Coturnix japonica: one gene and its partners. The protein of the gene in region 3 purifies or fractionates together with the protein of the main gene of each other region. This does not show direct contact. Links are inferred from orthologs where the notes say so. Each region holds a gene or a part of one and is shown on either strand. Other genes may lie near its edges.

Region 1 (3,578 bases), on a different chromosome or scaffold from region 3:
ATTCCAAGACCTCCTGCCCGTGTACTCAACATGAAGACAAATTTTGAGCTACCAGGTTCATTATACGCATTAATAGAAGCCTGAATAAAGAGAACATTATCATCAGTTGCACTAAATGTTTTATAAATGCTGTTTTTGTGTAAGAGAAATACTTATATACCTGTCTTTCGTCGTGAGGCGTTTGTCCGTCCAGTCTACAGTATTCATAATTTCGCCACATGCAATAATCTTCCAAGATATCCAGAACTCTGGTCATCTGGCTGAAGATTAAGACTCGTGAACCTGTTTGGGATAAAAAGCCTTTATGTTTTCTCCAAAGCTTAAGCTTCATCAAACACTCCAAGTTGCCAAATTAGAAAGGGAAGGAGAGCAGTTGCATATACCATGAACAACAGTAGTTATAATTAAAAGTCTGATTTAAAAAGTTTTCAGTACTATACATACACATAAAATAGAATATGTTGAAAATATGCTATTTTACTGAGCAGCTATAAGAACGTGAAAGAATTAGCAATCCAGTGTGACTTCAAACCCTTCTGTATATTACAGAATGCAGAGCTGCAGAAGTTGCTATCAAGTACTGCAAAGAATTCCCAATGCTTTAAACACAATTATTCTTTAAATACAGTGCATATTCACTGTTCAAATGACATCTAAATAGGATGACAGAGACACAGCTGTGGTGATCTGCATCTTCCACCTGAATATTCGTTGGATACTAAACACAAATGACTTTTATGTTATCTAAGGCTGAGGTTTGGATTTTCTGTTTTTCAGCAATGTCTCCCCAGTCACAAGTTTTCCTCTGCTTCTTTGGTGACTTAACAGTAATATACTCCATAGCTTTGTCCCTGGTAAAACTTAAAAAATTAAAATTAAAAAAAAAAACAAAATAGCTGACGTGTTCCTCCATGTTTGTCTTGAGGAATCCATTGAAAAAACTCATATGCCGTACAAAGTCATATCCTGAAAGAACAACACTGCACACAGGATATGACTTTAACCCAACGTGAAGACTTGGAATATGAAATGGTACACGATGGTGAACCAAAGCAGTGGCTAATATACCACATCTTTATGTTACACATAGCCAATGTTACTGAGAAACCAAACCTAAAGCCCAGACCAACTGATGCTTCTGTGGCCTCAGCTTCCCTGGAAAACAAACTTACACATACCAAAACCTCCTTCAGAGCCACAAAAAGCTGTAATGGACTGTCAACTCAGTTATTTATGAAGACACTATCAATTATTTAAGATACAGTGCTCAAGAAGCTGGTGTAATGCTTAGAAATCAACCACAATCCTTCATAGCGTGCTCCTTTTTGTGCAGGAGACACGAAGACTCTGATTTTCATTTTTATACCTGAACTGAACAACACCTAAAAAACAACGAAGTGATGCATACCTTGCTCTTTCAGCTTTGGTAGTAATTTGTCCAGTACTACCATCTTGCCACTGTTGGTGACTAAATGCATATCTGTTGTGTAAGGTGGACCAGGTTCTGCTCCATCAAAGAGATAGGGATGGTTGCAACATTTTCGCAGTTGCATCAGGATATTCAGCAGTCTCATTTTGTCCAGCTTTCCAGCAGAATTCAAAATATCTATATCCTTCATTAAGATTCTTGTATACCTATATGAAAGAAAGAAAAAAAAAAACTCTTTAGTAACTATAAAGCAAAGTGAAATAACATGGTATATTCAAAAGCTCACCCCCTTTAATTTAATTGGGTAGCTCACTCTTCTCACTCTTATCTGCACAGTTTTGTCTGCATAAATGTCATAAGAAGAGAAAGAAGAATCTAGTATAGTGGAAGGAATTGAGTTCCACACAATAACTGAGCCACAATCAGCACATTCCTTCTGAGCCTTAACCACAGCACACTCAAGTATGTGAATTACCATTCTCGTTGCATTTTGCTGAGACCCACGTAAATTTTAACTTCCTTCTTTGGAGGTAAACTTTTCTCTACATCAGCTTTAATGCGACGTAAAAGGAATGGTCGTAAAACCTGAAAAAGAAAGCATCATTAACTGTAGTTTGGAAACTGAACATTGAACCAATCAGTAACAGCACTGCAGTTATTTTCTCCTCTATGTACCCAAATGCCAGTGCCATTGCCCGATCATCTGAAAAAGCTCTCAACATAGGCGGGCTGTTATACATGGGAACATACATCAGTTTTCCTAGGAAGACTCCAAATCTTCTAGGTCATGACTTTCAGGACAAGAATTATGAAGTTTTCCCAATCTTTTAGTAGAACACTTCTGACCATTTAGGTAATTTTGTTTTAAACCTCACTTAGCTGAAATCTTTGCAGTGCCTTGAAAGCTAACATTTTAAATGCAAGTATCTTCAGAACCTTGAGAGCCAGAAGAATATACTCTCCTCTCTCCCCCAGAAAAACTACCTTATTTTGAACAAACTGACATCCTTTGGTTTTTTCTGAAAACGTGACACAGTTTCTGGAATAAGCTCTTATAACCTTAATAATCTCATCACAAGAAGTACTAGAAAAATTACAACCTAACTTAGGTAAATGTAACACACAGAAAGCATGAAGACTTACCATATGGAGACGTTCCACCAACTTTTGATCCCCTAGACAGTTGTTCGTATCAAACCATGAGTCAAAGTCCTGTAACAACAAAATGACTGACATGTAAGAGCTGTTCTTTCAAGGTGCAGTACCATTACAATGGGGAATAGGTAAGACTCAAGTCATTCTGTTAAGCAGAAAATAAATAATCACAAAACCCCTTTTGGTGTTAAAAAATAAAATAAAATAAATATATACTACATAGTGTATATATATATATATTATTTATTTTATATATAAAATATAAAGCATTATATATAATATATATTATATATATAATATATATATATAATTGAAGGACAATTCTAATCTAACAAGTCATGAGGCTTCGACTTCTACACTTATTACAAAGAAGTAATTAAACAGTACTGTGATGCAGTTCTCTTGCTCTTAGTGTAGTCTACTGTGGAGTACATAGTATCTCCCAACTCATAGGAAACAAATAATACAGCAACTTCCAGTTAAATGTAATAAGTAAACTGCTACACCAATATTTAATCCTACTGTGAAACACAGTAAAGATCATCTTCACACTGTAATTTGAGACACCTCATATCTGCAATGCTCACATTAGCCCTTAGAAACAGCAAAGCTGTAAAAATTAGCTTACCTACTATCTTATAAGATACAATATTGGAAGCATTTACTGACTGTCAATCTATCACCATAAGTAACTGATAATACAAAGTACATATACACATACGTTGAGATGTTTTCAAATCTGAAAATTAATTTCCAGTCACTTAATTTTTCTAACATCAATTAAGACTTACCTCAGATGAATTAAAGACATCTGGCAAAAGGAAGTTAAGAAGTGCCCAGAGTTCATGCAAGTTGTTCTGAAGTGGAGTTCCAGTTAGGAGCAGCCGATTTGTAGTCTTGAATTCTCTCACAATTTCTGATAACTGAAGGAGATTGAGACATCAGTGAGTACAAATACATTACTAGTATTGCCATCACCTAGCAACACAGAAAA
Region 2 (4,338 bases), about 3.9 Mb from region 3:
AGCTATGACAACCACTATGCAAGAAATCATATTAGGGAGAGACAAATGCCACTTCCTTGTCTAATTCCTGTAAAGTATTTATTTTGAAGTCTTCCATATTTTAAGCAGAGACAAGCTGGAGTACATTAAAACTTTACATAATCAGAAATATAGGGGAAGCGAGCTTATTTTGCCCTCCCCAAGATTTATTATGTCTCTAGCATCAATCTGCCTGGAAGCTACAAGTCCTGCCTCCCCTTCTCCAAGCTACATTTAATCTCCCACCCTAAAATGCAAAGCAGAATGGGGAACGTGAGCAATGTAATCACACTGTGTGCATATTTTAAGTGTCTATTAAATGCATGTAGGTCACAGAGAGATAGAACTGTGAAAGTAAAATTCATTCTTCTGAAAAATAATAATGCAGGGTGTGGGTGCTGCTGCAGTTAATTACCACTCCTAATATATCAATCAATGGCGTTTGACACTTGCAATATTTATAATAGAAATCTATCCAAGGAGCTCAAATGTAAATTAGAAATGCAAATAACAATTAGCTGTAAACCAAATGGAGCCACGGAGATTTGCACGAGAAGCAGGAAATGTTGTTTGTTCAATATTTAAACATATTTTCCTGATGATACACCTTTGGGATGGAGGAAGAAAGACTGGATATAGAGAAGAGATTATAACTGAAAAGAATAAGTTTAAAGAACTAATATGAAGGAGAGAAAAAATGTTTTCCCCAAGAAGGGATGCTCATGTTTCAATCAAGAAGCTCAATATAAAAGAGTGGTAAGAAAAATGAATGAGGCAAACCAGGAACACGAACAAGGCTGGAAATGTGAATAAAGTGAATTCCTGTATTTAAGGACCTGACATTTTTGCTCCTGAACAGGTGGCATAAAGCTGTTGCTAGTTGATAGATGTTGCTGATTTCAATATACACAGCAGTGCTACCTGTGAGCTCAGGTCCAGCAGAAGCTTCAGAAGACAAACAGATGGCAGAAAGAGCAAACATTGGAACCACTGCCCTTCCACAACACTTCCAGAGAACTTCTGCCACCACCTCTGCATCAGACAAAGCAGGTGAGAAGGGAACAGAAACTCAAACATCAGCCTACAGATAAGCACCATGGCTTGGACTTGTTCCCAGCCCGCAGCAATGGGGTGCTGACCTTGTGGCCCCATTCCCTGCTTTTTGCTAACTGCTGTTGTAGTCTTCTCTAAATGAACACATTCTTTCTTCTCTCTCGCATATTTGTACACTGTGTGACTCACTGTTATTCTTGGTGTACTCTGCCTTTCCCCGCACTAGAGATTCCCACCTTCTGCCCTGGATTCCACACGCCCCACACAACCATTTCAGACCATTATGTCTTTCAAACACAGTAAAACTTTCCAAACAGGGCAAGCACTGCAATGCATTCTCAGTGCATGCGAAGGGCACTTCCACACCCACATGCTCTCTAGGAGAATATCAAACCACCACCCTAGACAACACCACTGCTATCACCCTAAAAAACTACTGTTTCTGTATTGTGTTGCTGGACACAGGTTGGCTGCCTCCTACCATCCTCTGTGCCAAGAGAAAGCCAACCACAATCCTTAAGCACAATGCACTCCACCTATAAATGCATCGTGCTGCTGGGAGCAGGCAGGCAGGTCCTCCAGAAGCTCTGTGCTTCCCTTTGGCATGGACAGAGTTCCTCATGCAGAGCTCAGCATCAGATGGACTCCTTGGGAAAGATGCAAGGATCTCCAGGTTGAGCAGTTATGGGATACTCTGGCCCCAGTTCAACAGTTGGAGAATTGTTTAAACCTAGAACTGAGTTGTCTTCATTCCTTCTCCTCCCAGATTTGCAAACTTAACCAATTAAAGCTTTGGATATTCTCATCCAGACAAAACCCCACATCCACTTTTTCCCCCTTTTTAATAATGTTAAATTCTTGACCTCAGCATCTTCCAGGGTCAGTGAATTCCGTGGCACAACTACAAACTGTATGACAGTAATCACTGCATTTGACAGCAATCACAAACATTTGACAGCTTTTAACCAAATGGAATGCCCCTGTTCCTACGTTACCGCACAGAGAACAGGAGCTCGTGTTCTGCCCTCACTGTCAAATTACATAGTATGTTACTTTTTCTCCTCTCTTTTTCATGTTTTCTATGTAATAACCCTAATTTCCTCCATCATTTGCTACACATTTCAAAGCTCTGGGTAGCTCTGCTGTGCTGCGCACAGACTCAGGCTTCCTGGCTGCCGCTAAAGCATGGACAAAGTTGTGCTAAAGTAAATACATCCCAGAGGGACAGAATGGCAGTGAGTCCTTCAGCAGGTATTTCCTGCCATTCCCTGTGGCAGTCTGTACTCATGGGCACAGTCCCTGGGTGGGACACAACCAGTGCCCACCACCACGGTACTCCCAGGCTTGTGTCCCCTCCACCCAAGCAAAAGCTCCACCCTTTCTTCTCCCCTAACACAACGTGCTGCTAAGCCCTCACTTCCCACTTTCCGAACTCCCACCTTCACTGCTGCCTCAATACATTTATGTTCTGTTTGGTTTTTTCCCCTATTCCAACCACTTTCAAGTAACCTTCCCACTAAAGCGGGCTCAAACATTCCACTCTTATGCTGAAACCTTCTAAACTTATTTCTCTTCCTCTCAGTCTAGACAAGACGGAGAAGCACACAGCCGAAAACCGCACAAATATCAAAGCAGTAAAATAAAGCTTACCGCGCCTCTGTACTTCATCTCTGACTCCTTCCAGCTCTCTCAGCACTTTCAGAGACTTGGTTTACGCCGCTGCATAAAGCAGGAATCTGAGGACAAATTCTCTCTTCTGTCAGTTGCCCTTTTTTTTTTTTTTTTTTAATGACATTTTCAGCGCAGTCAGAACTCCTTCCCTCCCACCAGCTCCTACTGGAGCATCCTAGAGAGGGCGTTTTACAATGGAAGGGAGGGGAACTCTCCTCCCCTTGCTACGAGGGGACACACAGCACACATGGGGAGAGGAAAGAAGTCGGCTGTCCTCTGCCTTCAGCCTGCAGCTGGGTCCCTGCAACCCAATGGGGGGAAAAACGGAAAGAAAAGTAATCACGGGTGATGGAAAAACTGGTGTGCAGCCCAACAAGCCAAACCACAGCAAACAGGACAGGAAGCCATTTGCTCCGCTACGGTAATTCCTTTCTGCACTGAAACAGCAGCAGCTGTATCAAGAGGGCTCCCCGTATCCACTCCAGACTCACCCCAACCACAGCAGAACCTCCTGGGCAATTATAGTATAATTATAATTCCACTTGTCATCATTCTCTCAGCAAGTCACAGGACCGCAAAGAGTCCACAGGTAACACAGTCTGCCTTGTCCGTCCTTGCAAGGACTCGGTATATTTGCTCAGCAATATTTATTCCCAAGCATTTGCAGACACCCGCTCTCAGAACACCCACTTTCTATGGAAGCTCTCGTCACCAAATAACCAGCACTGCCACATAGGACACTCCATTACTGGGCACGGTGAAGCCCCTGTTGCCTTTAATCACCATGCACTGCAATCACAAGTGGCACATTTCTCTGCCCTGCGGGTCATCAGGGCATATTGGCCATCACTACACCGAGGCTGTGAAAACCATCAGTGCCCTGAGATGAGGGCATTGACAGAAATCAAAATGTATATTTGCCTTTGCATATGCATCAAGTGGAAGTGAAAGGACAAGAGGCAATGACAAAGTGGAGAGCAGGGAAATTCCAAGGAGATATTATGACATTTTTTTAACCTACTATAACAGCCATCAAATACCACAATAGAGGCCCCCAAAAGTTGTGAAACTCCACGCTTGGAAATACCCAAGATTCAATTGGACAAAGGCTGAGCAATCTGATCTAAATCAGCCCTGCTTTAAAGCAGGGTTGCACCAGAGTCTCCCACAGGTCCTTCCCAATCCAAACTGTTCAGTGATTCTGTTATTTTGCTCCTCAGTGGTCTAAGCTACACAGCTGCCTAGTGGGCAGACAGACCCTCGCATACACACTTCTGTCCCATGCTCTGCCATTTCCAAGCATCAGCAACAATAAAATTGGTCATCCAATTGACGTGACTCTTAGTGGCTAATGGAAAAGATGGGTTTCTGTCTGCAAGTCTCACAACACAGTCATAATCCACACAGAGCGTATTGTCGCCCATTATCCTTTATTCTATGCTCTTAACAGGCCTCTCTCATCAAATGTTTCATCGTGTGTGACTCTACAATTAGCAAGGAGCTTGACAAATGGCTGCAAATTCAATGCAGGTTTATCCTGTGTACAAAGCATTGCCCACACACAGAACACCTAATCTGCACCTGCAGCTCAGAGGT
Region 3 (4,316 bases):
TTGGATTTTTTGTTGTTCTGGGTGTTTGGTTTTTTTTTTGGTGGTGGTTTGTTTTTGTTTCCTTCCTTTTGCTTTAAGATTTGCATTAGGAAGGCAAGTCACAACTGCAACAAACCCACATCTCCTGGGCATCGCTCCCCAGCCCCGAGGCAGAGCAGGAGCTGCAGGAGTTGAGCAGTGCCAGGCAGCTGCACTCACAGCCCAGGGGCGGCTGCAGCAGCACACGGAGCACCCTGCAGTCAGCCCAGCTTACAGCTCACAACCTCCCAGTGCTCCCTGGCTGTGGACACAGAGCCCAGCAGCCTGTGGCCTCCTGCACACAAGGCACCAGGACCAGAGGGGGATCTGGGCACCTCTCTGCACTGACACCGAGCAGCAGAAATACAACAGGAAGCCAGCAGCCCTGCACGTATCACAGCACTCGGCCGCTTTAGTAATGAACAACTTGACGCCATAACTCTGCTCTTTCCTGAGCCTTCCCTGCAAGAAGGGAAGCCAGCCCAGCCCTCACTGGCAGGGATGCAAACAGAGACAGAGCAGCTCCCAGCTCCCTCCTGCACTGCGCATCCCTCTGCTCTTCCTGCTCGCTGCAGGCACACGGACACCCACCCTGCAAGCACCAAAGCAAACAGCAGAGAACGCTTCTGCAAAGTTTGCTGCATCTCAAACTTCCCACAACACACACACACACACACACACACACACTGTCTGCCCTTTCCACTCGGACTGGAAACAAACGCGGTGCACTTCAGACCATGCAGCAGGTCTGGCACAGTGCGACACGTGGGATGTGCCAGCAGCACTGAGCCAGAGCTGCCACAAAGCTCAGCATGAGCATAAATAACCAACCATGGACACGGCTCCGTGCAGACAGTGCACAGAAACACAGTGCTGTAACACACACGTTGCATGAAACAAACTACCTGCAGCTTGTATCACAGCTACAATCACCTAAATGAGCTCCAACAGCCCCAGGGGCTGCTCTGCTCAGCACAGCCCGGCCAGCATCCCCTCACACTGCCTGATGGAGTCACACAGCAGCCAACACGCGCAGGGAGATGATCCAATGAACACAACTCCACATTTTGACATGAAGCCCCATTGACACAGTGCACACACACAGTGCACACACCTATTGACACAGTGCACACACACACAGCGCACACACACACACCCCGTTGGCTTTCCCAGGTGTGCAGTGAGGTACCAGGACAGGTCTATCCCACACACAGCACATGGAGCATTGATCTGCTCCGCAGCCCACGTGTTCCAGCAGTGCCTGCAGGGCTGCAGCCGGGAGCAGCCCGTTGCAGCACTTTGCCCACACTAAACCCACTCACTCAGTGCACTATGGGCTCCACGTGAGTCCCGGACCCACGGGCAGCACGGCTCCTCTTATCGACTCCTCAGGCCTTGGCTGCAGAACGAAGCTACAAAGGAACGTCACAGCCAAATAAAGTCCCAGGCCACTCTGCCCATCTGCCCTCAGACTCCTCAATGCTGGGTCACGGGACAGCTGTGACTACTCACATTTACCAGACAATGCCACAGTGCCCGTATTTTTCTTCACCCTGTTCTACAGCAGCAAATTCTGAAGAGCCCTGCAGAACTCCATCCCCATCCCTGCCCGTGTGCAAGGCTGGATGGGGCCCTGGCAGCCTGGCCCCGTTTAGATGTGGCGGCTGGTGCCCGTGTCTGTGGCGATGGGGTTGGAGACTCCTGACCATTGCGGTCCCTGTGTTCTGTGAACGCGGTGCCATCACACACCTCACTGACGGATGGGCACCACAGGATCCCGCAGGGCAGGAGCTGATTCACCGCTTCCCCGGGTGGGGAAAGGCCGGCAGCCGGACACAGCACTTGGTGCAGCTGGAGCCAACGAACCGGCCCCACGGGACCCAGCTCCCGCCCGGCTCCATCGCACGCGGCACAAACGCAGCGGTAACACAGCGGTACTTTCTGTTTGCAGCCCGTGACGTTTCTCTGCCGGCGTGAACTTTCCAGAAGGCGCTGGGCCGACAGCCCCTATAGCAGCCCCTATTGCAGCCCCTATTGCAGCCCCCATTGCAGCCCCTATAGCAGCCCATATTGCAGCCCCCATTGCAGCCCCATAGCAGCCCCATAGCAGCCCCATAGCAGCCCCATAGCAGCCCCATAGCAGCCCCATAGCAGCCCCATATTGCAGCCCCATTGCAGCCCCATTGCAGCCCCATTGCAGCCCCATTGCAGCCCCATTGCAGCCCCTATTGCGGTCCCCGAGCCCGGGCTGCCACCATGGCGGCCCCGCTCCGAGCTGCGCCTCAGGCCGGTTCCTCCGGTCAGCAGCAGTGACTCGGCTCCTCCCGGTTCCTCCCGCCCGTTCCGTTGTGCAGCGCGGGACGGGCCCGAGTTCCGGGCAGTTCTTTTGTCTCCTCCCCGGTTCCCGTTGTTTCTCGGTTCCCGTTACTGGGTCGCCCCGCTCCCGGCGCTGCCCGAGGCCGCGGTCCCGCTGGTCGCAGCCCGGTTCCCGCCGTGTGGCGGCTCAGCCCCGTTCCCGCCGCCCGCCCCTTTGTTCCCGCGGCTCCCGGTGCCGTAGGATACTCGCGGGTTCGGAACGCCTCCTGCGTGTGCGGGATGATGAAGCGCTCCCCGCTCTCCCCGGCCGGCAGCGGCCTGGCCAGCGGGAAGGGCTTCCTGCCCAGCAGCGGCGCCATCGGGGCCGGGTCCGCGCGGAGCCGCCGGGCCGGGCGGGAGGATTGAAAAATGGCGGGAGATTCCCCTCCCCTGCCGGGCGGCGGGCCCGGCCCGAGCGCGCGCACCCCAACTCTCCCGCCGCCCCGCGCCTCCCGCCCCCCCTCCGCCCCGCGATTCGATTGGAGGACGGCCGGCAACGCCGCCTTCCGATTGGCCGCCGCATCCGCCGATCGCGCCGCCTCGCCCCGCCCCCCCCGGCGCATCAAGCTGCGTTGCGCCGCGCGCGAGGTGAGAGGTCGCGTTATGTAAGGCGGGACGCGCCGCCATCTTGTGCCGCCGGTGTCCGCCCGCCCCGTCCCGCCGCGGCCAATCGGGGTCGGCCCCGCCCCCACATCCGGGCACCGCGCGGCTTTGTCTGCTCGGCCCGAACCGAGGGGCATTGTGGGAAAGTGGCGGCACCGCTGTGCGCGGCGGGACGGGGAGTAACGGCGGGACGGCTGTAAACAACCGGCGGGACGGCGGCCGGCAGCGCGCAGTGCTGCGATGCACAGCCCCGCAATACACAGTGCCGCGATGCACAGCGCCGTGCCCAGCCCCGCGCTCAGCCCCGCAGTCCCGGTTCTCACCCCCGCTGTCTCAGCTGCTGCTCGGCTCTTTGCGCCGTTCACCCGCAGCTCCCCGAGCTCCCGGCAGCCGTTGCGTTAATTAAAGTTCACATTCTCCCTTTGGACCCATTGCGGTTTGCTGGCGGTCCGTTCAGTGCCGTCACTTATTCACAGCTCTCAGGGGCTCAGGAGCCTTTTCCCGTCGCTCTCACAGCACGAAACGAGCCCGGAGGGTTCGTAGCCCCCGTTCGTTTCCCTGGCTGTGATACAGGGGGCGATCAATCACATATTGCCACAGATCCGTGCTACCTCCTCTAAGCTGCTGCCAGGTGCTCCCATTAGTTGCCTTGTGCTGCACCTCACTGTAACCCGAGGGGTCAGAGAATGTTTGTTCCTGCAGAAGGATGTATATAAAACCCCTTTATAGCTGTTGAAATGCAGTTCTGCAGCTTTTGTTTCTGACAGAAGGCTCCGTGTTTCCACGGAAGCTGTTGAGGTGCCCGTCCCCCTGTGCCCATGTTACAGCTGTGGGCTTTGGCTGCCTCCGCTCCTGCAGCCGCCGGCTGCCCCACTGTCCTGCAGCATCATCCCCGGCCCAATGCAGGACCTGCCCTGGGTCCTGCACCCTCTGTGCCATGTCCCGCGGTGCATCGTGCCCGGAGCTACAGGAGGCCAGAGCCCCCGTCTGTGATAAACGGGAGGGAGCTGATTAATCCTGCAGCCAGAGCAGCCACAGAAGAGTCTTCAGGGAGGATTTAGCGAGCAGTGGCCCAGATACATCAAACCGTCTCCAGCATAACGTGATATCCCATTAGGGCTCCTCTTTGTGTAACAGCTTATGTTACTTATCCTATTAGATGACTGATGCTGCTTTGATGTCTCCCAAGGAGACTGTGCTAAACTTTCTGCCGTGCTTTTCCCAGGTGGATTTCTGCCACCTCTGACACGAGGCAATGTCTGTGCCCACCAGGCGGGTCCTGAACTGATGATGATTTGTGTGGCTCTGCTCCTTCCCTTTGCTGCTGGGGTGTCCCCAGC

Evidence for each region.
Region 1: the proteins of BAZ1B (region 3) and SMARCA5 purify together in Homo sapiens (affinity purification with western blotting; 11 studies listed by BioGRID and IntAct, with this or other methods). This does not show direct contact. The link is inferred for Coturnix japonica from reciprocal best matches to the Homo sapiens genes BAZ1B and SMARCA5.
Region 2: the proteins of BAZ1B (region 3) and MYO1C purify together in Homo sapiens (affinity purification with western blotting; 3 studies listed by BioGRID, with this or other methods). This does not show direct contact. The link is inferred for Coturnix japonica from reciprocal best matches to the Homo sapiens genes BAZ1B and MYO1C.

Annotation. Positions count from the first base shown.
Region 1 is NC_029519.1:26,881,571-26,885,148, reverse strand, and holds part of SMARCA5 (SWI/SNF-related matrix-associated actin-dependent regulator of chromatin subfamily A member 5), read right to left. Parts: intron 3,508-3,578; coding exon 3,376-3,507; intron 2,642-3,375; coding exon 2,573-2,641; intron 2,015-2,572; coding exon 1,905-2,014; intron 1,636-1,904; coding exon 1,409-1,635; intron 283-1,408; coding exon 161-282; intron 81-160; coding exon 1-80. UniProt on the Homo sapiens protein: ATPase that possesses intrinsic ATP-dependent nucleosome-remodeling activity.
Region 2 is NC_029534.1:4,034,595-4,038,932, forward strand, and holds the start of MYO1C (unconventional myosin-Ic), read right to left. Parts: upstream 2,863-4,338; 5' UTR 2,740-2,862; coding exon 2,722-2,739; intron 1-2,721.
Region 3 is NC_029534.1:145,379-149,694, reverse strand, and holds the start of BAZ1B (tyrosine-protein kinase BAZ1B), read right to left. Parts: upstream 2,814-4,316; 5' UTR 2,694-2,813; coding exon 2,581-2,693; intron 1-2,580. UniProt on the Homo sapiens protein: Atypical tyrosine-protein kinase that plays a central role in chromatin remodeling and acts as a transcription regulator. Involved in DNA damage response by phosphorylating 'Tyr-142' of histone H2AX (H2AXY142ph).